Notamacropus eugenii: one gene and its partner. The protein of the gene in region 2 interacts with the protein of the main gene of each other region in a biochemical or structural test. Links are inferred from orthologs where the notes say so. Each region holds a gene or a part of one and is shown on either strand. Other genes may lie near its edges. The genes, in order: PDK1 and RPS6KB1.

The links.
Region 1: the proteins of RPS6KB1 (region 2) and PDK1 form a complex in vitro, tested with the Homo sapiens proteins (2 studies listed by BioGRID and IntAct, with this or other methods). The link is inferred for Notamacropus eugenii from reciprocal best matches to the Homo sapiens genes RPS6KB1 and PDK1.

What each region holds. Positions count from the first base shown.
Region 1 is NC_092876.1:234,412,198-234,423,502, reverse strand, and holds the start of PDK1 (pyruvate dehydrogenase (acetyl-transferring) kinase isozyme 1, mitochondrial), read right to left. Parts: upstream 5,290-11,305; 5' UTR 5,171-5,289; coding exon 5,002-5,170; intron 2,182-5,001; coding exon 2,040-2,181; intron 753-2,039; coding exon 681-752; intron 1-680. UniProt on the Homo sapiens protein: Kinase that plays a key role in regulation of glucose and fatty acid metabolism and homeostasis via phosphorylation of the pyruvate dehydrogenase subunits PDHA1 and PDHA2.
Region 2 is NC_092873.1:372,680,741-372,692,150, reverse strand, and holds the start of RPS6KB1 (ribosomal protein S6 kinase beta-1), read right to left. Parts: upstream 4,812-11,410; 5' UTR 4,723-4,811; coding exon 4,582-4,722; intron 1-4,581. Other genes in the region: TUBD1 (tubulin delta chain), read left to right, coding at 8,616-8,787, 10,813-10,960. UniProt on the Homo sapiens protein: Serine/threonine-protein kinase that acts downstream of mTOR signaling in response to growth factors and nutrients to promote cell proliferation, cell growth and cell cycle progression.

The DNA of each region.
Region 1 (11,305 bases), on a different chromosome or scaffold from region 2:
CAGTTCGTAGAAAATTCCAATAAGCATAATCAAAATGGTTCAATGAGGTAGGATTTTAATGGAACTTGCTTATTAAAAACAATAACAAAATTTATAGCTCTAAATGAATATTGTCCCTTTCAAAGTACTGGGAAGTTTATACCCAATACTTACTCTTTCTTTCTTTCAAAAATTAAAAACTGTATACCCAACTTGATCATCCTTCTTACCGACTAGACTTTGAATGACTTTTATTTACAAAAATCACATTAAATCTTTATCCTTTGTTCACCATTACCCATACTCAAAATTATATGCCACAAGTTTTAAAGACAGTTCTAAAGTAGAACTCTAAAGATTTTGAGCAATGACAGCATTGTTAGACTAGGTGTACCTCTCAAAGTAACTTCTTTGAAAGGGACAAGATTCTTAGTGTAATTTTTTAAAGCAACTAAGTCATATAACTTAATAGGAGTCAAGCCAAACACAGACAGAGAATCTTAAGAGTGGGAAGAAAATTTAGTTAAGTCATTGTGACCTCAAAGAGTTAATAAACCCTCTAAAACAAAATAAATAAATAAATAACTCCTTTTTCCATTAGCAAAATTAAGTCCAACGTATTTGCTTTATGGAATAGCGTTTAGAAGACTGAAATTAAGCAGTAAAAGGCATTACAGGAATGGGATCAAGAATATACTCACTCATAAACAGCTTTAGCATCTTCAGCACTTTTATGCTTAAAATCAAGAAGCTCCTGCAGACTCTGAATGTACCTAAAATGTAAATCCCCAAGTTAAATTTGAACTTATTATGTTCCAAGACCTTAATCTATAAAAATACTACAAATGTATTTCTAATATCACCTTTTGATCAGGAACAATATTATGGTGTCATGTTAGCAGTGCATTAATTGTTGAAGAGATACTTTTTTATATTTACTAAAAAACTAGTCTATATTCCCTCTTTCTGATGATACCTTAGACAGGATATTACTCAAGAATCTTAAGATCTCATTCTATTGTATTTTTTTTCCTTAAATTTTGTATCTTCACTCTAAGTAACTCTTGGACATGTCTTTAATTCAAAAAATGGTGGTATAGTTCAAAAGTACAAGTTTTACAGAACAAATCCTTTTATTAAGGGGATTTGCTCTACGAAGTTTGGATTCAGTCAAAAGGTCACACTTGAAGACCTAGAAGGCCACAGGTTCCCCACCCCATGTGGTTCAGTCATTTCAGTATATGTATGAATGTGTATGAATGTATATTATATACATTTTTTCAGACACAAATATGCATAATAATTTGTGCTTAATCAAATCTCTAACAGTTTAATGCTTAAAGCTATATTGTCATTTAAAAAAATTAATATGATTATGCTAATTTTGGCCCACTTGTTTCTTTTATGAATTTAAAAAATGGATATGCAAGAGCAGATTCTCTCAGATTCTCTCACAGATGCATAATTTCCACAAAAGAAAAAAAAAGACACTAAAATCTCTTAAAATAATCATCATAATCGAAGAATAAAGTTTTTGTAACTAAATTATTTTTCATTCAAATTTTATCTTGATCAATTCTTTTGTTAAATGTTTACAATGCTTAAGAAATAGCAATAGTGAAGACAAAGGCAATTACTTGAAAATGATTAATAAAATCATTTATTAATAAAAAGATTAAACCAATTTTTTAAAATATAGCTTATAAAACCGAAGATGTCTTCACAATTGGATCAATCCATTTGTTAAAAATGTGTGCTTTTAAAATACATTTACCCATACTGATTGCATTTGTATGAATTTTAGAGTGTTAAAAAAAATCATTCCTGTAAAATTTAACAAGAACTAAATCACAAGACATATTTAACTGTGGCACTCACATTTCTGTGCAGTACTGCTTCTCTCAAAGAAAAGAATAGCAATGTCTAATAGGACTTAGGGAACAAATACATACACCACCAAATAAAGGCTGCTTATAATTCTGGTAGTCCAATGACGATCATGTTTAATATAAGGCAAAATATTCTCCACTAATATTGCAAAAACAAGACAGGATTCTTACCAGCTCTGTACCAGCTGAACTGAAGGTGTTCTTAGAAGATTATCTGGAAGAAGACTGATTTCTTTCATTATGTTTGCCAATCTCACTGGCAACTCTTGCCGCAAAAACATAAATGAGGTCTTTTCACATGCATTCACAGATCCTGAAACAAAAGGAATTTGGAAATCAAAATGGAAGTGTGAAGAAAATGTGATTCTACAAGAACAAAATTATTCCTCCACCAAAAGTTGCTTTCATATTCGTTCTTTGTTTCTTAAACCGTGAAATTCTGAAAATATCTGCTTACAAAGTTGTCATACTGTTTGAAAACTGAACCTTAAGGGAAACAAGGAAATATGTAAGAGATAGAAAATCATAAGTCTTCAAGAAGAAGTCAACTCTTCCTAGAAAGAAGTGTAGATTTACCAAGAAAAAAACCAAAGTTGCCAATGACTAGATCTTTGCCTTTTACCATTTTACCATGATAGATCACTGACTTAAGAAATCTCAATGATAACATAAGATAAATAACCACCAACATTCTTTTAAATTTCTACCAAACATTCCATTCAAAAGAATGGTTTCTTGATTCACTATCCAGATAAAAAAGTCTGGAGTCTTGCTGAAGGAATTGTAGGATTCTTTAATCTTAGGGGGAAGATAAGTCTGAGAAATATATATTCTTTAAGAAGTTAGACTAAATATACTGATCAAACTGTTCTGATGGGAGCCATCACTGTGCTTTTGCGTTCACTCATATTACACTAAATGGGATCAGTATGTCCTACACATAGCGATAATTGTAATTAAAATACCAAAAATAAGAGGTTTTTTTCTTTTAAAGTATGCTTCATTACCATACCTACTTTGCAGCCACTCTCAGACCAGTGATGAAACCTTTTCTCTTCCTCTTGAAGCTACTATAGATGCTTTGAAATTTCCTACATTACTACAGGATAAACTGTATTTTATCCTATTTTCTATTCTACAATATTAATATCTAGATGGGAAATATGTAAAATAGTCCATTATAATTAAAATGAAAAAGGGCAACTTGTTAAAATTACAACTATACTACGCATTTTAATGTTTCTTAATCTTAACTCATGTTTTTAGGTATACATTTTTTTTTGATGCAGTAAATCCATTTTTGCAAAAGTTCAGTTACTTGTCTCAGGTCATGCAATTAGTGGGAGAGCCAGGACATAACCTGCTTCTCCTTACTCCAGAAAAGCACTTTTTCCACCACAATGCAATGCTTCTTCATACCATATTGTCTCAAAAGCTTTAAAGGAAAACACTTTCTCCTAAAAGTCAGATTTGATGGAATACTGAGGTAATGATTAGGTCTTAACTATCAGAATAATTGTTTCAAATTACAAGTAAAAATAAAAACATGTAGAGGTTTTCTAGTCAAAATAAACAAACCTTATAGGAGTCTTTATTTTAAAATAATGAAATCATCAATGTTATGCTATGAGTGCTCTCTTAGGACACTGCAGTGAAGCCTGAGAGCAAAAAAAGAGTAAGTTATTTTACCCAAGCACCGGACTATGGAGTTTTTTTTCCCAAAGATTACTTACTAGAAGTTTTCTACTTTTCCCTTTTTTCTCTGAGTTCTAAGTGGACTTCAGAAACTTACTAGCAGCCTGAGCAAGTTACTTAACCTGTTTTTCTTTGTTTCCTCATCTGGAAAATGGAGATAATAATAGCACTTATCTTCAGGACTATTGTGAAGATCAAATGAGATAATAATTGTACAGCGCTTAGCATAGTGCCTGGAACATATATAAACATTATTATTAATATTAGTGCATGTTTGACTTTGTCCAAGAAGAAGGCAATAAATAAACTAAGTCCTAAAGGCTTTTTAAATGCAACCACCTCTTTCCTTTTCTATAATCGGCAAAATATCTTCTTTCATTTAGGGAAAACTTTAAAAGAATCATCAATTTGAACGGGAAGAAAACTAGACTATAAGTTACTTAAAAGTAGTCACAGATTTGTGTTAACCAAAAAACGGAGTCCCATAGCATCGTGTTCAAGCAGGTTATTATATTCAATATTTGTTTAAAATTAAAATACTTTCCCTGGGTTATCAACATTTATCAGTTCATAAGCATTTACCAAGCACTCATGTGCCAGGTCCTGCACTTTTACAATTATTCATCTTCATTTGGTCCTGAGTATTTAAGCACTGGAGAGACCAAGCAAAGCGGAAGGAGCCAAAGAGATGTCCCTGACCCTGCAGGAGCTCATGGTCTAATTCATCTCAATGCCTAGAAAAGTATGATTCTCTTTCAAGAAAAGGAGCCAAATATGTTTTCTTTCACAAGTCTAGATGATTAGTTGCTTCCTTAAAAAAAAAAGTGAACAGTAATCTTGGGAAAAGAAAAATTCTACACCAATAAACAGCAGCAACACGGCCATCATGAGCATTTGCCACTGCCCAAGAGATGAAGGGATTTGTGCCGAAATGAGGATTTATCATCATTCCTGGTCCCTGTTGCTTATTACAAATAAAACTGTGGCTTGTGTCAGACACTGCGTCCGCAACTGTGAGTCCTGCTTACGTCAAAAATAAACAGATAAAATAAAACAAAGCAGACAAAAAGAACAATTGGCAACGGACGAGGCCCCGAAACGCTTCCTTGTCTTTCCCTCGCTCCGACACCAGATGACTTTTCTAACTCCTAGTTTTTGTTTAAAAATGAGAAATGCACCAAATAAAACGCATAGAAAAAACACTAGATGAGGACGCAAAGGCAAAACAGGGAAAGGTGGGAAGGAGGCAGACACGAGAGCACGGAGAGAGACCTGGACACAGAGGTGGGCGGAGCACCCGACAGCCGAGGGCGGGCCGGGGGAGAGGGAGCCGGGCAGAGGGACCCCAGGGCGGGCGCGGGCAGCGTCCTCCCCTCCTCCCCCGCCCGTCACCGGGACCCTCCAGGGCCTCCCCCCGGAGAAGCGCGAAGCCGCTCACCGAAGTCCAGAAACTGCTTCATGGAGAGCGGGGACGGGGAGAAGCGCGAGTAGAAATCCACCTGGCCCGGGACGCTGCGCTCGAGGTCGGCACCGGGACTCCAGCTTGGGGGGGGACCTGGGCCCGGACCGGCCGAGGCTGCCCGTCGTAGGTACCTTATTAACCTCATAGTGAAATACGTTCCAGAAGATGTAAAGAAAAAGGAGACCCAAATCCGAGAGGCGCCATCGCGTGCCCGGCTCCTGGCTTCCGTGGCGCGTACGTGCAGGGAGTCGTGGGGGGGCCGGAAGAGGCGGGGCCTTCCGCGCCATGTTAGGCTAGGCGCCTGAACCAGGGAGCTGAGTGCCCCGCCCCCAGGAGGGGAGGGGCGGAGCCCGGCGTCTCCCCGCCCCTTCCCATCGTGGGGGAGGCACGTGAGTGCTTTGTCCTTCGAAACCCGCTGGGACTCGGGCGCCTTCCACTTTCTTTAGGCCTGGCTTTGCTTAGCCTCGCTTCACCCGAAGGAGCGCGCTGTGCCTTGCTCCAGCTGTGGAGGAGGGTGAGGTGGGGGGGAAGGGGTCCGCAGCCCACTCCTGAATGAGCCTGGAAGGGCTAGGACGCGAGTGCTTTACTACTACGTTCGCGGCTCGCACCCCCCAGCCACCCTCCCTAGCATTGGCATTAATGCCACCTGGCTTCGCTTAGGACCCCTCCTGCCTTCACAAAGGCACGGGAAGATGCCACCGCCCTACGGATGCCTTGACCTATTTACCTATAGGATGGAGGGGTGGGGGGAAGGGGAAGACAGGATCATCATCCTTTTGTTCAGTTATTTAAAAGAGCTGCTCTGAGGCATGAGGGAATTAGAGTAACATTGATAGACTCACCAGAGAGAACTCAAGAGAAAGTTAATTCATTCAACACGCTCTCCTGTGTCTCCTCTATGTGATTACTTCCCATTTTACACTGTATATATTTTATGAATACATTGTTGCTGCATGGTAAAGGAAGCTTCCTTAAGGGCAGTGGCCATGTTTTTCCTTCATTTGTATCTCCAGAGTTATCAACGGTAACTGTTGCTCTTTCCCTACCAGCTTGATTTACTTATTTTTTTTCTTTTGCTCATTAAACCCATTGCATCCTGGGCCTTCTCTGGTCATCCTGATGAATATTTGGACACTGGATCCAAATGGCTCAGGAGGGGACAGTGAAGTTGGTGACCTTGCACAGCTCCCCCTCACTCAAAACAAAGTCAAGTGCAAGTCATGTCATCATTTCTCTGATGTCATGGTCCTCTTCAAAAAGGAAGAATGGAACACAAAGTTTAGAACACAGCCCAGCTCATAAATGCTTGTATACTTGTATACAGACTGCAAAGTACTCTCCTAATCCTGGGATGCAAAGGGTCAAAAAAAAAAAAAAAGCCCATCACTGCCCTTTAAGGATATTACTTTCTATTGCACAGAAACAACATAAAAATAAGTAAACACAAAATATAGACAAAGTAATTCCTGGAGAGAGGGCACTAGCAAATATGGAGATCTAGATAAGTCTTCTGTAGGAGATGGCTCTTCAGTTGAATGTTGAAGGGAACTAGGCTCAGGCTACTGACTATCTTCCCAGTCATCTGAGTAAAAACGAAAAAAAGGCATAAGGAGATTCAGTGGGGTCCTGATATGTGATCTGTACTGCTGTTTGGAGGATAAATCAGAGGGGAGAGATTGGAGGCAGGGAGACCAATTAGGTCATCATCTCACTTCACCTTTCTCACCCTCCACCCCCGTCTTAAAAGAAGTTGGCATGTATGGCACTATAGTGGGGCTAATAAAAAGAAAAACTGAAACACAGGGACTAGGGGATGAAAGAAAGAAGGAATCATCCCACAATAGGATCAGAACTCAAGTCCTCCATTTCCTTATTCCACTATGAGTAAAGAAAACATCAAATTCTTCTGCCATCACAGAATTAAATAGCTTTGATTCACCTCTGCTTCCCACCCCTTTCATTTCCTGAACTTAAGTGGCTATCCAGGCAGCACCCCCACTAAAGTTTTAATTGACCTCTGTACCTGTAGAACTGGCAGCCTTGGAAAGAAGAATGTGAGAATTATTATGTTACCTGAGTCTACAACACTCTCTAGATCCTCAAGTTGAAGAAAAACCCATATTTTAATGGAGGGTTTTGCTCTTCCCAACCCAGGGCCATTTTTCTTGTTATTGTGACAAAATTGTCAACCTCTTTTTCTGGACTTAGGTAAAGATTAGGGAAGGCCTAAGCAAACCTTGAGAGGCCTGATAAAATGCCCCAGCCTAATCTAGAACATGGTGAAGATCTATGAATTGTTGTTTATATATAGACTTTACAAGGGTTGCAAGAAATGCTGTACCATGGTTGAAACCAGATCAAAATCAGTGTCTGAGAAGGGAGAATCTCAATCCAATCTCAATCCTTGGTCAACACGAAATATAGGTAATTCCTGAACATTAAGCCAAAATATGGCCACAACAAATTTGGAGGATGGGAAAAATGCTGCAGGTAGACACTGAAGCCCAACTTTAAGTAATGTAATGTAGCTGACAGGTGGGGGAAAAAAACCTCAAAAAATAGCAGACCAGCTGTCATGGGATAGTCCAAAGCCAGGTGGCTTTAGGGGCAAAAAACATGAAGCAGCCCAGGAGGTAAAAAGGCAACCATAAATAGCTTCAAAGATCCCACCATCTCCAAGTACATGCTATAAAAAAAGAAAAAAATGCCAAAAGATAATTAATTTTCAGTAACATTGAAACACAAAGATTGCACTATCTATTACACATTGTAGAGTATGGACAATAATAATTAAAACAAACTTACTGAACCTCATAATTAAGGAGGGGAAAATTAAATTCACCAATTAACAATGAATCAACAAGTGTTTATTAATTGCCCACTGTGTCATGCTCTGGTAAAACAAATACAAAGAATGAAAGAAACCCTATTTACAGGAATCTTATATTCTAATAGGGGAGACAGCAAGGACATGTGTATGTGAATAAATACAAATGTGTGCAAATTAGTTTGTACTAGCAACTGGGAAGATCAGGAAGGGCTTCATGCAGAAGATAATTCCTTAGCTTCATTTTAGAAGGAAGAGGAGGACTCTATGGGGCAAAGATAAGAAGATAGTGCATTTCAGGCATGGGTCAGTACAAACATAGAGATAGGAGACAGTCTCCTGTGTGAGGAACAGAGAGAGAAGGCCAGTTTGACCAGTTTGGAGAGTGCAGGAGGAGAAGTAATCCTAATAAGGCAGCAAAGGTAGGTTTTGTCCAGATTGTACAAAGTTTTAAAAGTAATCAGAGAAGTTTATAGTTTATTCTAGAAGCAGTTGGAAACTTCCAGTTGATTGAGCAGGAAATTGATATGGTCAGATTTGTGATTAAGAAAAATTACTTTGGCAGCTGTGTATAAAATGGATTAGAGTAGGAAAAGACATGAGTCAAGAATACTAATTAAGAGACATTGCAATAATTTAGGTGAGAGGTGATGACAGCTTGAACTAAGGTAGTAGCTATTTCTGAATGAAGATAAGAAGTTTGATGGAAGAGATACTATGAAGGTGGAAATACAAGATTTGGCAAAAGATTCAATAGATGAGGGAGAATGAGTTGAAGATAATACCAAGGTTATAAACCTGGGAGATTGGAAGGGTGATGGTGACTTCAACAGAAATTGGGAAGCTTAGAAGAGGAATAGGTTTAGAAGGAGATAACATGTTCAGTCTTGGATATGTTTAGCTTAAGATAGCCATTCCAAAAGGTTTAATGGTCATTTGGTGATACAAGACTAAAGTTCAGAATAGTTACTAGCACTGGAGATAGATAGATAGATAGATAGATAGATAGATAGATAGATAGATAGATAGATAGATAGATAGATAGATAGATGGTGTCATCTGCATAGAGATGGTAGTCAAACCCACAAGACTGATGAGACTACCAAGAAGGAGAAGAGAAGGTGACCAAGGACAGAACCTTGAGGTACATCCAAAGTTAGGGGGCATGATATAGATGATAAATTTACAAAGGAGACTGAGAAAGAATGTTCATTCAAGTAGGAAGAGAGCCAGGAGAGAGTAGTGTCATGAAAACTCAGAAAAAATTTCAGCATCACCCCCTTCCTCCTTTCAGTTCCTGGGTATTGTAGTGTATTGACTTTTGTTTGGAAATTTAGATAGGTTTCATTTTTTTGTTTTCCTAGAAGAACTCATAGTAGAAAAGAGCAAAGGGAATTTGAAGAATTACTGGTGCTTGATCATACAGCGAAAACTAGTACACAAAGTTCAGTTATATTTTAATCACAAGTGGAAGAGGGGAGAAGAATGGAATGTCTCACTACAGAAGCTTGCTATTTTTAACTGTTGGAATTGGCTATTTAAGGTAATAAAATGTGTATGATCCTAATCTGTTACTGTGTTTAAAAGCTCTTTTGAATTCTACTAATTAAGAGACAGAAGTGAATATGGTGCTTGAAAGAAAAATGTACTAGGAGCTGTAATTCGATTTCAATTTAACAAACATTTGGTAAATAAACAATCAGCTAGGTCTGAGCACACAAAGACAAAACTGATAGAGGTGCTCTTAACAAGTTCACATTCCACTGGAGGGACACTGCACATAAACATATTAATAACACTTGTGATATGAATTATATTTTAGCTACTTCCTAACATAACACTGCATAACTACTAACATAACCCTGAAACAACACATTTCAGCAGATGGACAATAGAGGCATCTTTGAATTCCTGGGTGATTACCTCCTCTTGCCATATAACTTGGAAAATTTCAGTCAGCTTTTGTATGGGCAATGGACCCTCTACCTTGTAAATCTCAGCTAGAATAGAATCAGCACCAGGTGCTTGAAAGACACGCAGAACCTCTTCTTTACTTGGAGCTTCAGCTAGGAACGGATTGACTTCAACCTGAGGTAAATAGTCAATGACCTCAGCATTGATTGATGATGAGTACACTATGGAAGTGTTCAGATCTCTAGGATCATATTGCTAATCAAACTGGCTCCATCAGCACTGAGTAACTGAGATGCACCATAGGTCTTTGGCCTATAAATAGCCTTCAGGGCATCATAAAAGTGTTTTGGATTGTTACTATCAGAATAAAACTGAATTTCATCTGCCTTCTTACAGAACCAAGAATCCTGCATCTCTCTAAGCTTTGCTTGTACTTTACCTTTGATGGAATTAAATGCTGCCTTCTTAGAGATGGATGAACTATCCTTCTGGTAAGCCCTGTAGAGTTCTCATTTTTCATTTAGCAGCTTCTGAATTTCCCCATCATTTTCGTGATGAGCAAATGCAACACTGTACACCAAATCTCTGAAAGCCACCCACTTGTTTTCTGCTCCACTGTTGCCAGCTGTGTGTGTGTTTGCTCAACTTTTCCTCCAAGTTAGCAACAAAGTGTTCCCTGTAAAGGTAAAGGAAATAGATTGTCCTGTGACAATCACAGGGGGTCTCTCTCTTAGTCATTGCTGGCAAGATTCTTGCCAGAGTTCTCCTTCACCTAATCCTTCAGCTGGAAGATGATCATCTACCTGAGAGCCAGTATGGCTTTAGAAAGGGCTGAGGAGCACTGATATGGTTGCTGCCTGACAATTCCAGGAGAAATACCAGGAGCAAAAGAGAGATCTGTATACATTTGTAGATCTGACTGAGGCCTTTGATACTGTTAGTTGTGAGGGCGTATGGAAAATTATGTCAAAATTTGATTGCCTGGAGAAATTCATCAGCATTGATCATCAATTTCATGATGGCATGCTGGCCCGGGTTCTAGATAATGGACAATGTTCTTGTGCCCTCCCAGTCACCAATAGAGTAAACCAAGGCTTACTCCCATGCCTTTTAGCATGATGTTTTCAGCCTTGTTTTCAAATGCTTTCAATGAGGATGAACACGGCATCAAGGTCAGCTACTGCACTGATGGTAAGTTCTTCAACTTGAAAAAGCTACAAGCCAGGACCAAAGTGGAGGGAATGTTGGTGCATGATTTTCTGTTTGCAGATGATTGTGCACTCAATGCAGCCTCTGAAGTTGAGAAGCAACAAAATATGGATCAATTCTCTGCTTCTTGTGCTAATATTGGCCCAACAATTAACACCAAGAAAACACAGGTGTTCCTTCAGCCACCACCACACCATCCATACATGGAACCATTAGTTACAGCAAATGGAGAAGTTTTGAATGCTGTGGATAAGTTCACTTACCTTGGTAGTGTATTTTCTAGGGATGTACACATTGGTAATGAGGTTGATGCATGCATTGCCAGAACTA
Region 2 (11,410 bases):
CCTTTTTAAAGGTACTGAATTTTATTTTAGTCAAGATAGCATAGTGGCTAGTGTTGGACTTGGGTTCAGCAGGACCCAAATTTGAATCCAGACTTAGACACTCTATGACTTAAGACAGTCATTTAACATCTCAGCTTCAGTTTCCTCATGTATAAAATAAGAGCACCTACCTCACAGAGTTGTTGTGAGGATCAAATGAGATAACATATATAAAGCATTCATATCTTAAATTGCAATGTGCATGCTAGCTATCACTATTATTTATAAATGCATAGTCTATTCCTCTTTGAAAGATTGTTTTAGTCTTCTAGGTATCAAAAAACTAATTAACAGGGACTTGAAGTCTTTGTGCCCACACACTCACAAAGGCTTGCCCCTTTCTAAATGGGGTTATACTGGCATACCATGAGGTATAATCCGACTGCTTATCTGACACTTCAAAATACACACCACTGCCAAAATAACTGCATTTATCAATAAATCATACTTCAGTAAAATGTAGAATGGAAAATGTTCTTTAAAAATTCCAGAGTCCAGCTCCCTCAGTTTTTGGATGATGAAATCAAGGACCAGAAAAAAGGTACAGTGAGTTGCCTAAATTTAGAGGGCTGAAGTGGCAGAGCACGTACACTTGAAACCGAAATCTCTTGATTTAGATCTAATACTCTTTCCACTACATCATGCTGAGGGCAAACTAAGTGCTGGCTGTTTGGCAATAAGTGATGTAGTTCACAATGTGGTTCAATAATACCAACAAACAATTCCAAAGTAAGTTTTCTGATTGAGTATTTCTCCAAAACAAGAGGAATATATTGGTTTGAACAGTAAAATTTTTGAAAAGCATATTTCATAGATATTAAAAGGAAATGAGAATAATTTCCTAGTATTTGAACTTTTTTCAAATCTTTCCAAGTATAAAAGTATGTTGGTCAGTCATATCTGATTCTTCAGATACATTTTTCATGGCAAAGATACTGGAGTGGTTTGCTATTTCCTTCTCCAGCTCATTTTACAAATGAGGAACTGAGGCAAACAGGGCAAAGTGACTTGCCCAGAGCCACACAGCTAGTAAGTGTCTGAGGTCAGAAGTCAACTGACTTCAGGGTTGGCACTCTATCCACTGTACCACCTAGCTGTCCCCAGTGTAAAATTCAAACATTTTAAAAAGATGATAAACCTTAATTCTAAAATTGTCAATTCAACTAATAAAAGTATATCATGTCAAAGAATACATAAGTACTGAGATGGCAGGGTCAGAGTCACCTTTTTATTTCAAATAGTATTTAATATGTGATGTAGTTTCTAATAATATCAAAATCCAAGCACTAGGCTAATGTGAACATAGAACTGAGTTGAAAAATCTTGCAACAAGTTACCCTCCCTACCAGACTACGCACTTCTCTAAAATAACTCTGAGATTTAATTCGACTTGACAATTCAATAGACATTTATTTTTCATATGAAGAAATTTCATTTATTTTTGAGAGGCTGTGTGATGTTACAAATAGAGATGGCTTTGAAATCAACAAGATAGATCCAAGTTCAAGTTCTGTTACTGCCATAAACTGGCTATGTGACCCTGGGCAAATTAACAATGCTCTGGATTACTCTTAAAACTAGTTAGCAGTGAAGGTACTGACCTGCATTATTAGAAGGAGTTTCCTCACCTATACCAAGGAAATCACAAGCCCAGTCTTATGTTTAATCCATTACATTTATTTAATGCCTATGAGTAAAACAGGGTAGGGTACAAATTAAAATGAAACAGTCTCTACCCTCAAGAAGCCTATAAATCCAAGGAAAGACAAACAGAGAATTACTAGCTGGGGGGCAGGAGAAAATAGGGGGAGGAACTTCATCTGAGCTGAGCTATTAAGGAGTGAAGGGCCTTCCTAGAACCAAGGCAGGCTTATGCAAATACAAAGAAGCTGGAGAGCTCAGGCAACAGTGAGTAGCCTGCCTGAAGGGAAAGTTGTAGAAATAAGTATGAAAAGGCAGTTTGGAGCTAAAGAGCTTTCAAAAGCTTGGTGGAGGGGTTTGTTCTCTTGTAGAGGCAACAAGGAAACAGTTGCTTTTTAAGCAGAGGAATAACATGATCAGATCAGTGCCTCAAGAAGAGTATTTTAGCAAGTCAGTGAAAAGACAGATTGGAGAGGGTGGAAAATAAAAGTACTGATCAATTAAGAGATCATTATAATAATCATGAAAGAAAAGATTCAGAATTGATCTAGGGTGCAGTCTGTGAGCAAAGAGAAGGGAACTGATGGGAGAGATGTTATGAAGTTTACGTAAACTAAGTGGATCTGGGGAACAAGGGAGTCAAGATTACTTTTTGAGTTACAAAACTAGGAGCATGATACTAAAGAAAAATAAAGAAGTTGGGAGAAGTGGTAGATTTAGAGGGTAAAGATGATCATGAAAAGAACAGCATTATTCATTCCTGTTTTAACTTCCCTTTAAGATACTCAAAGATCTTCATATAGAAAATGTATTCCTATAAATATATATTGCATGTACATACATAACGGTATCTTTTATTTATACATGTCTTTTACATAAATATATACATGTATGTATGTGTGTATAAATATTATCTATAATATATGTGTGTATGTTTTTACATATATATGTATATATATGACATCTTTTAACCCTAACATTTATCAGTTTGATAATATGCAAACGTTACTATTGTTTGAGGGGATGAGGATGGAATTGGGCAGTTAAATAACATCCCAATAACACAAGCAAAGTGTTGCTAAATTACTCAACTTTCAGATTACTATTCTATTTGAATTTTCTTTTTTAAATTTAAAAGGAAAATGAGAAGCAAAATAGAACTTTCAATATCCAACTCATTAATATTTTTAAATCTCATGTCTAAAGACCTAGGATGATGTCTCATCAGGATGTGGTGGTGATATTAGGTTCTAGAAGTGGTAAGTCTTACCAAGCTAGAAAGGATGGAGTACAGGGCCAATAAAAAATGAGATGATAAAGCGTTCACCAAGCCTGAAAGTAACGAGTGTATATATGTATATGTATGTGTATATATATGTATATACATACATGTGTATATATACATATATGTGTCTACCACATGTAACACACTAGCCATTAATTACTGTTATTAACAAATGTTCTTATAGGAACAGTCTAAGCTTGGAAAAATTCATCATCAAAACGCTGACTGTAATGAATTATTTTGGCCATATCAACTCACAAAACTATATACTAGAATTGGCCAAGAAATTTTCCCAAGCTGACACATACTAGCTTAACCTCTCAGAGTTCCAGGAAATTCAAACCATACATTTTATATGTGCAGTAGCAGTAGGCAATTCCTCACGAGTTCCCCCTCAGGTTGATACAATTACAGATAAGAACAAAAACAAACAAAAACACTACATATTAAGACCTGACAAGGATGCAACCTCTTCAGTTTCCTCTAAGGTGTACCCTACACTGATGGTGAAATCACAGGCCAGGAGGGGGGAAAAAAGGGTATCTATTAAGGTGTGAAGCCTGTGAAGGGATCATCTTGGGGGGGAGGGTTACCCACAAAGATGAAATGAAATCACAGATCTTTTGAAGTACAAAAATATATGCCTTACCAATGATGTTCATGAGCAGAGAAATAAATTATTTTAGATTCGCCAACTCTAAAAAACACCTTAAAAATTAATAAATAATCCTTAAGTACAATCTGGCCTGGAAAAAGAAATATTGCAAAAGGAACAATAAAAGACAAAAACAAGCTCTACTTAAAGTAAGCTAGAAAGTAGTCCTACCATACAGCAAGGTGGCCCTGGAACCATCAACTTAACAAGTCCCAGGTAAAGCAACTTATTTGGGGGAAGCCAAATCACAGCTGCCGGCACCGTTTTTTCAACTCCCAAATCAGAAAACCGCACAAACCTCTTGTCTGGCGGGCGGAGGGAGAATCGGGAAGAGGGGCATCACAGTTTTACACTGTAAACAGCTTTTAAAGAATCACCCCGTAACCCTCCCCCCGAAACTGCATCCTGCAGGTCACCCTCCCAGGGCGGCTGCTGCCGCAAAGCCCAGCCCGCAGAACTTTTCAGCTGTCATCCAACAGCTGAGCGGACGCTTGGCAGGCGCCAAGTCGCCGGGGCGAGCGCAAGGAGCGGGGACCCCAGGCTGGGGAGCAGCTTGAGCTCCCCGCACCAAGCACCCCTCCCTGCTCCCCCGCGGCCGCCTCCCAGACCCGCTGCTCCAGGGTCACCCTGAAGCTCGCGCCACCCCCGCCACCAGAGACCCGGGGTCGGGAGGGGGTGGTGGCCGGGAGCTTGGTGCACCTGCGCCCGTCAGCAGCCGCCCCCACCTCGGGATTGGTCCTGCCGCGCCACCCGACTCCACAGCGGAGCCCGCTGCTCGGCCGCCGGCCGCCCTCCCGCTCCGCTGGCCTGCGTCCTGGCCCCAGCCTCTGGCTCTCGCCGCAGGCGAGGTCGCTGGAACGGCCCGGCTCCCTAGGCCCGAGCCTACGCCCCGGCCCTGTCACCTCCGCCCGGCCCAGCCGGCCCAGCCTGGCTCGGCTCAGCCCCCGACCCCGGGCCTCACCCCTTCCTCCAGCTCATCCTCAGAGCCTGCGTCCTCCGGCTGGTCCAGGTCGATGTCAAAAACTCCTGCCATGGCCTCAGCTTCCCCGTCTCTGAAGTCTGGCGCTGGGTAAAATCCGTCCCGCCGCCGCCGCCGCCTCATGGGCCCGGACCCGCCGCAGCCGCCGCTGCTGCCGCCGCCATCACCAGCTGCCGGGTATCAGTGCGACTGCGCTCAGGCCCTAGGCTCACACCGCAAGCTCACCCATTTGCACATGCGCAGAACTACCCATGAAGCCGAACTATGGGCAATGGGCAAAATTAGCTCTTGTTCTGGGAGCGAAGTAGAGGCTTAGACATGCGCATAACCTCACCTGAAGCCGAGGGTATAAACTTGTGTATCTCTTGCTCCAACAGCGCTTGATAAACTGTGCGCATGCGTATCGTTTCTGAAATTGATGAACTGAACTCAGAACTTGCATATAACTTTGGACCAGCTGAAGAAGGGGAGGGAGAACTATCGAGAGAAGGGTTCGCAGAACGGAACATGCGCACTTATCCTTCTGAAGTCTCGAGTGCGGACATCGAACATGCGCAGGAGGGATGTTTGGGGAGGGATGAGTTGGTGACAGTGAGCATGCGTGAGTGGAGAGCCGTTATTCTGGGGGTAGTGGCAGAGACCCTAAAGCTCGGCTGGACTCGGAGCCGTCGGTGAGTGAGGGCCTAGGCCCGAGATGAGGGAGTCTTCCTTTCTCATTCGCTCGAGCTGGGGCCTTCGCCGAGGTGGCCTCGCTGGGCGGTTTCCGCCCTCCTCTCCGGGCCTCACGGCCTTCCTTTTCCCTGGTCTTTGAGCTCCTCTGCAGTGAAACCAAGTCCCTGCTGCTACCCTGTCCGTCGGAGACGTTCGCCGCGGGCCTCCGGAGAAACCTGGCACTGTAGGAGCGTAGTAAGAGCTGGAAGGGACCTTGGAGCCCGGCGGCGGCAGGGCCAGCCCCCTGATCGTACCGGTGAGGAAACTGAGCCCCACAAAGGGCGTGTGTCTTGTCCAGGACCCCCACGGGGCCGGGGTTGGAAGTCTCCGGCCTCCCAACCAGTGGTCTCGTAGATGGGGTTTTCTCCCTCCGACTGGGCCGATCCCCACCGTCCGTGCCTGCCCAGTCACATTAATAAGCCTGACATCCCCATGGAGAGCCCTAGAGGCTGTTGCCGGGTGACCAGCCCGCCGCCTTTTTTATTTCCGTTTTTTTCCTTGTTCTGGTGAAGTCCACGAGCTTTTAGTTAGGCACTATGCTAAGCGCTAGGGATGCAAAGAAAAGCTCGACCCTACTCTCTGTGTTGTGCCTTGAATGCCAACTAACCTACTGACAGCTCTTTTCCTCTGCGTTGGGCAGTGCCGCCTTCCTTCCCTCTGAGACTACCCCAATTTTACATGTATATATATATATGTGTGTGTGTGTGTGTGTGTTTTACATACACGTGTGTGTATGTATATGTGTGTGTGTATATGTTTTACATACACACGTGTGTGTGTATGTATATAGTTTGTCCATGGTTGTATGTTGTCTTCCCCATCAAACCCCGAGTGCCATGAGAAGGGCGGGGGGGGGGGCATTTGTTTGTTTTGGTTTGGTTCTTCTTTATATCCCCACCTTTGCAGAGAGCCTGGCTCAAAGTAGGCACTTGGTAAATGCCTGAACTGAGTGACTGAACTTTTCTTGTAAGGGCTAATAGAGGTGCTGGGCACCTAAGCTTGGAAGGATGGTGAAGTCTCCATATATTCTCACTCTAACTGTAGGGTATTCTGCTACTGGCAAAAACAAAATCATTGCTTTGAGGAAAAATTGACAGAGAATCTGATGTTCCAGATAAAGGAAGGAAGGCTTGTCAAAAATTCTTTATGGTGCCTCAGTTTTTATTGATACGCACCTTTTGTTTTTCACTTTCTAAATGTGTCTGCATACTTAAAAGATTATGTTCTGAGAGTTTCAATGGAGACACAAACGTCAAAATTTGGCAACTAGTTTGATATGTGTAGTAGATTAGAATGAGGAGTCAAGGATGACACCAAGCTTGTTGTTATAACAAAGTGACAGGAAGGATGGTGGTGCCTTTGACAGTAACAGGAAAGTTTGAAAGAAGTGTGGGTTTATAGGGAAAGATAATGAGTTCTGTTTTGAATATGTTGAGTTTGCAGTACCTGCGGAACATTCATTATGAATAAGCACTTGGTGATATGGGAGTGGAGTTCAAGAGAGAGACTAAGGCAAAATATATAGATATGGGAATCATCCACTGGAAATCTGGAACCATTGGCAGTTAATAAGCTCACCACATGGGAGAACATAGAGAGAAAGAGAACAGAGGTTTGGAGGACCCCCATATGAATGGGCATGACTTGGAAGAAGAGCCATTGAAGGATACTGAGAAGTAGTGGTCTGACTGGTTGTGTCACCAAAACAAAACAATACAGTTATATTCTAATGTGTGAAGAGGTTTCAATCTCATCCATAGTACTCATACTGATGAAGGCACATCTGATCTTTTGATGTCTTCAGTAAAAAAAAAAATCCAAGCAATCATCTCAACTGTGGTGGTTATTATCACTGATATTTAATTATTTACATCTTCCTGTAAAACTAGAATCATTGAAATATAGCTGTCCTCTTACAGATTATACATATTCGTAGGTAGCTTAATTGCCAAATGTTTGCCAATTTTTGTTGTTATTGTAAATAAAGTGTTTTTTCATGATGTTTTCTTGATCTTTAATGTGGATATCTTGCACCTTTGCTAAACCAGTTTGATGTCTTCATTAATTTTCATGTCATATGCAGAAAAATTACCTGAAAATTGCTCAGTCTCATTAGTAATCAAACATATACAAATTAAAAAAACTTGGAGTTATCAGTTCACATTTATCAAACTGGCAAAAAACAAAAACAGTGGCACAAATAAAATCAGTGAAGAAAGAATCAGAAGAGAAGCAGCAGAGTAGGAAAAATACCTGCATCAGATACCACTGATATTTGTTACAAGGGTGTTGTTTTTCTTTTCTTTTTGTAGATAGAAGATAGGGAAGAGAGAAAATAAAATATTTACCTGAAAAAGCTGTTTTAAAAAACCTCAGTCTCTCTCTCACACACACACATAAGCACAAGCTTGCTATGCATACTGCATGGGGAACTGCCATAAAACAATAGTTACTGCCCAGTGGTTAAGTGGGCCTGCTTATGGTTGTCTGAAGGCCTCAACCCCCAGACCAGAACATATTACATCTTTCTCTTGCTGTGCGACAGGCTTCCATACTACCAAAGATACAATAATACTACCTGTCATGAGGCCTTGTGGATCATACCAAAAACAAGATTTTTTCTAACCACATACCTTCACCAACAAACTTCTCTCCATCTGCCTTGTACTCTGCTTGCACTCATTTCCCAGTAGTTAGCGTATTCCTACTCCCTCATTACAGATAGTAACTCCCAATGTATGTATCTTAATTATGAAAGGAAGATGAGAAACAGTATGGTTAGAGATCCACAGTCATGATTAGAGATCCAACCCTGGAATCAGGAGACTTGGCTTCAAATCCCATATATGAATCCAGGCCAGTCTCTGAACCTTCCTTGCCTCAGGCAACTACCCCTGAAAGACTCTTAAGTAGCAGGGCAGGGGTCACTCATATTGAAACGTTTCGTTTTTTTGGGAGTTTCCCATAGCAAAGAAAGCATATTTGCAATACAATACCATCCTATCTCATGAAGAGAAGATAACTTTTTTTAAAGCGAAGTAATTTTCAGGGACAGAAATACATTTCTGATGCTGTTTTTAATTCACTGTCAGAGATAATCTAGGAATTTCGAAGTTCTGTTTTTCCCTTCAGCTAAGCCTGAATGTTATTACTGTTATATAATGTTGCTTAATGTGTGATTACTTTCTGATGTATGCGTATGTGTTTTTATTTGCCCTTGATGATAATCTGTAGTTATTTTGAAAGACATGATTGTTTCCTATTCTGCTTTATTCACTTTCTTTGTAGGAAAAGGTTTGGTCGCCATGTCAATAGTCACAATTCAGCTTGGTCAGTGTGGCAATCAGATTGGTTATGAAGTATTTGATGCCATATGTAGAGACTTAAATAATACCCAGGGATTCTGCTCTAAGAGGGAAAATGAAGTATATCAGGCATCTTGCAAAGAACATTTCTTTAATGAGGAGAAAAGTGGAGGTATGTAATTAAGGTGGCGATAAACATTGAGAACAACGCATTGTTTCTTTTTTTTCCTTTTAACAAATATTGACCCTAGAATACCAATTATGGAAAATAAAAGTATTGCCTGTTTAAGCAGGAAGCAAAAAGAAATGTCCATAAGTCTCTTTGTATCCAATTTAATTTTTTTTTAAATACCTGTTGCTTTGTATACAGTGGATACTCAACAAATGTTGCCAAAGAAATTTTTATTTAAAATTGGGAAGTTTGGTTTTCTTTTTTTTCCCCCATACTTATTAATTTGTTTTCAGTTTTCAACAATCACTACCATAAATTCCAAATTTCTTCCCCTTCCCTCCCCAAGATAGCATGCAATTTTATATGGGTTCTACACATGCATTCCTATTAAACACATTTTCACCTTAGTCTTGTTGCATAGAAGAATTAAAACAAATAGGAGAAACCATGAGAAAAACAAAATAAAACATAACAAAGGAGAAAATAGTCGCTCCATTCTGCATTCTGACTCCATACTTCTTTCTCTGAATGTAGATGGCATTTTGCATCATGAGTTCTTTGGAAATGATTTAGGTCCTTGCATTGCTGAGAAGAGCTAAGTCTATCAAAAACAGTCCTTGTATACTGTGGCTGTTAACTGTGTATAATGTTCTCCTGGCTCTGCTCACTTCACTCAGCATCAATTCACATAAGTCTTTCCAGCTTTTTCTGAAGTTCTGTTCATCTTTTCTTATAGCACAATAGTGTTCTATTACATTCATAAACCACAACTTTTTCAGCCATTCCCCAGTTGATGGGCATCCCCTTGATTTCCAGTTCTTGGCCACCACAAAGAGAGCTGCTATACATGTGGGTCTTTTTCCCATTTTTATGATCTCTTTGGGATATAGCCCTAGAAGTGGTAGTGCTGAGTCCAAGGGGTATGCACAATTTTATAGCCCTTTGGGCATAGTTTCAAATTGTTCTCCAGAATGATTGGAGCAGCTCACAGCTCCACCAAAGATGAATTAGTATTCTTCCAAGTCTCCCACATCTTCTCCAACATTTGTCATTTTCCTGTTTTAGTCATGTTAGCCAATCTGATAGGTGTGATGTGGTACCTCAGAGTCATTTTGATTTGCATCTCTCTAATCAATAGTGATTTAGAGCATTTTTTCATATGACTATGTAGGTAGCTTTAATTTCTTCCTCTGAAAACTTGCTGTTCATATCCTTTGACCATTTATCAGTTGGGGAATGGCTAGTATTCTTGTAAATTTGACTGAGTTCTCTATATTTTAGAAATGAGGCCTTTATCACAGACACTAGTTGTAAAAATTCTTTGGGAAGTTCTGTTTTCAAGTCATTTTTATGTTGAGAGTGATGTGATAAAGCTATGGGCCTATACTGATACTGTCTTGAAAAGGTGTAGTTCTTCCTAATATTTGAAGGTAGGGGATAATTATCCACTTCTCAGATACATAACCTGAATATGTAACAGTAGTTGAGTTACTGTTTCTTCATTGAGGTCCAGAGTGGGTTCTGTGAATTCTCGCCCTTGTGTTTGTTTGATTAGGAGTAACACCTGGACTTGTGAACTAATTGCATTAAATTACTGATATGTATTTGTTTAAGCCTGGAAGTCTACTGGTTACTTACTTTCTTTGGAAGAGAGGGCTTGTATTTGTGTGCAAATACAAAGAATGGAACAGTCCAACCTATTTTCAAGGAGGTTATTAAGCAGAAAAGCAAGCACCAACGTATGTATTATTAAAAATACTAAAAATAATAAATAGTAAAAATAGTTCTACTAAAATAGTAAAAATAGTTCCTATCCCAACAATAGGAATGCTAAACACTAGGAATAATGTTGGTATTTTTGCTGCTTGCCTGGATTTCATACCAGAGTGAGAGATACCCTCTTTTCTTTCTCATTAAGTAAATTTATACTCTGAATTAGCATGTAAGGGCCCTCCCAGCTCTTAATTTATGATCCTGCGTGGGGATAACTTTTTCCACATTTTGTATTTCCTCTTTACATTCTAGTTCCAATTGCCCGAGCATTGCTTATTGACATGGAGCCCAAAGTGATCAGTCAAACACTATTAAAAGCTGCCCATTCTAGCAGATGGAAGTATGGTCAACACTCACATTTCTGTCAGAAACAAGGTTCTGGAAATAATTGGGCATATGGGTAAGAGTGATTTACTCACATTTCACTTGAGTTACTGGTATACAGTTGAAGGATCTAAAGAAACCATAAACTTGAAATTGTGGATCCAGTCAGTCAACAGACATTAAATGCATTAAATCAGAACTTGATTTTAGACAGTAGGAGGTGACTATAGAAGGAGAAATGGAAACAGGTGACCTGAGCTCTGTTGCTGGTAGAAAAGAGCTGGAAACCAAAAAAAAAAAAAAAAGTTTCAGGAGGCTTTGAACAAGAAGGAAGCACCAAATCCATTGTTCTCAACCATGTTTCCTCCTACCTGACAGTTCTTCTCTATTATATCTCCCTAGACCTGTTTCTCTTTCTTACCCAAATACATAGGTCTATGGAAATTTTTTCTAATGATTTTTGCTTCTAATAATAATTTAAATGAAACTAGAAACCTCTTTCTTGCCTGTATCTTTAATTCCTTCT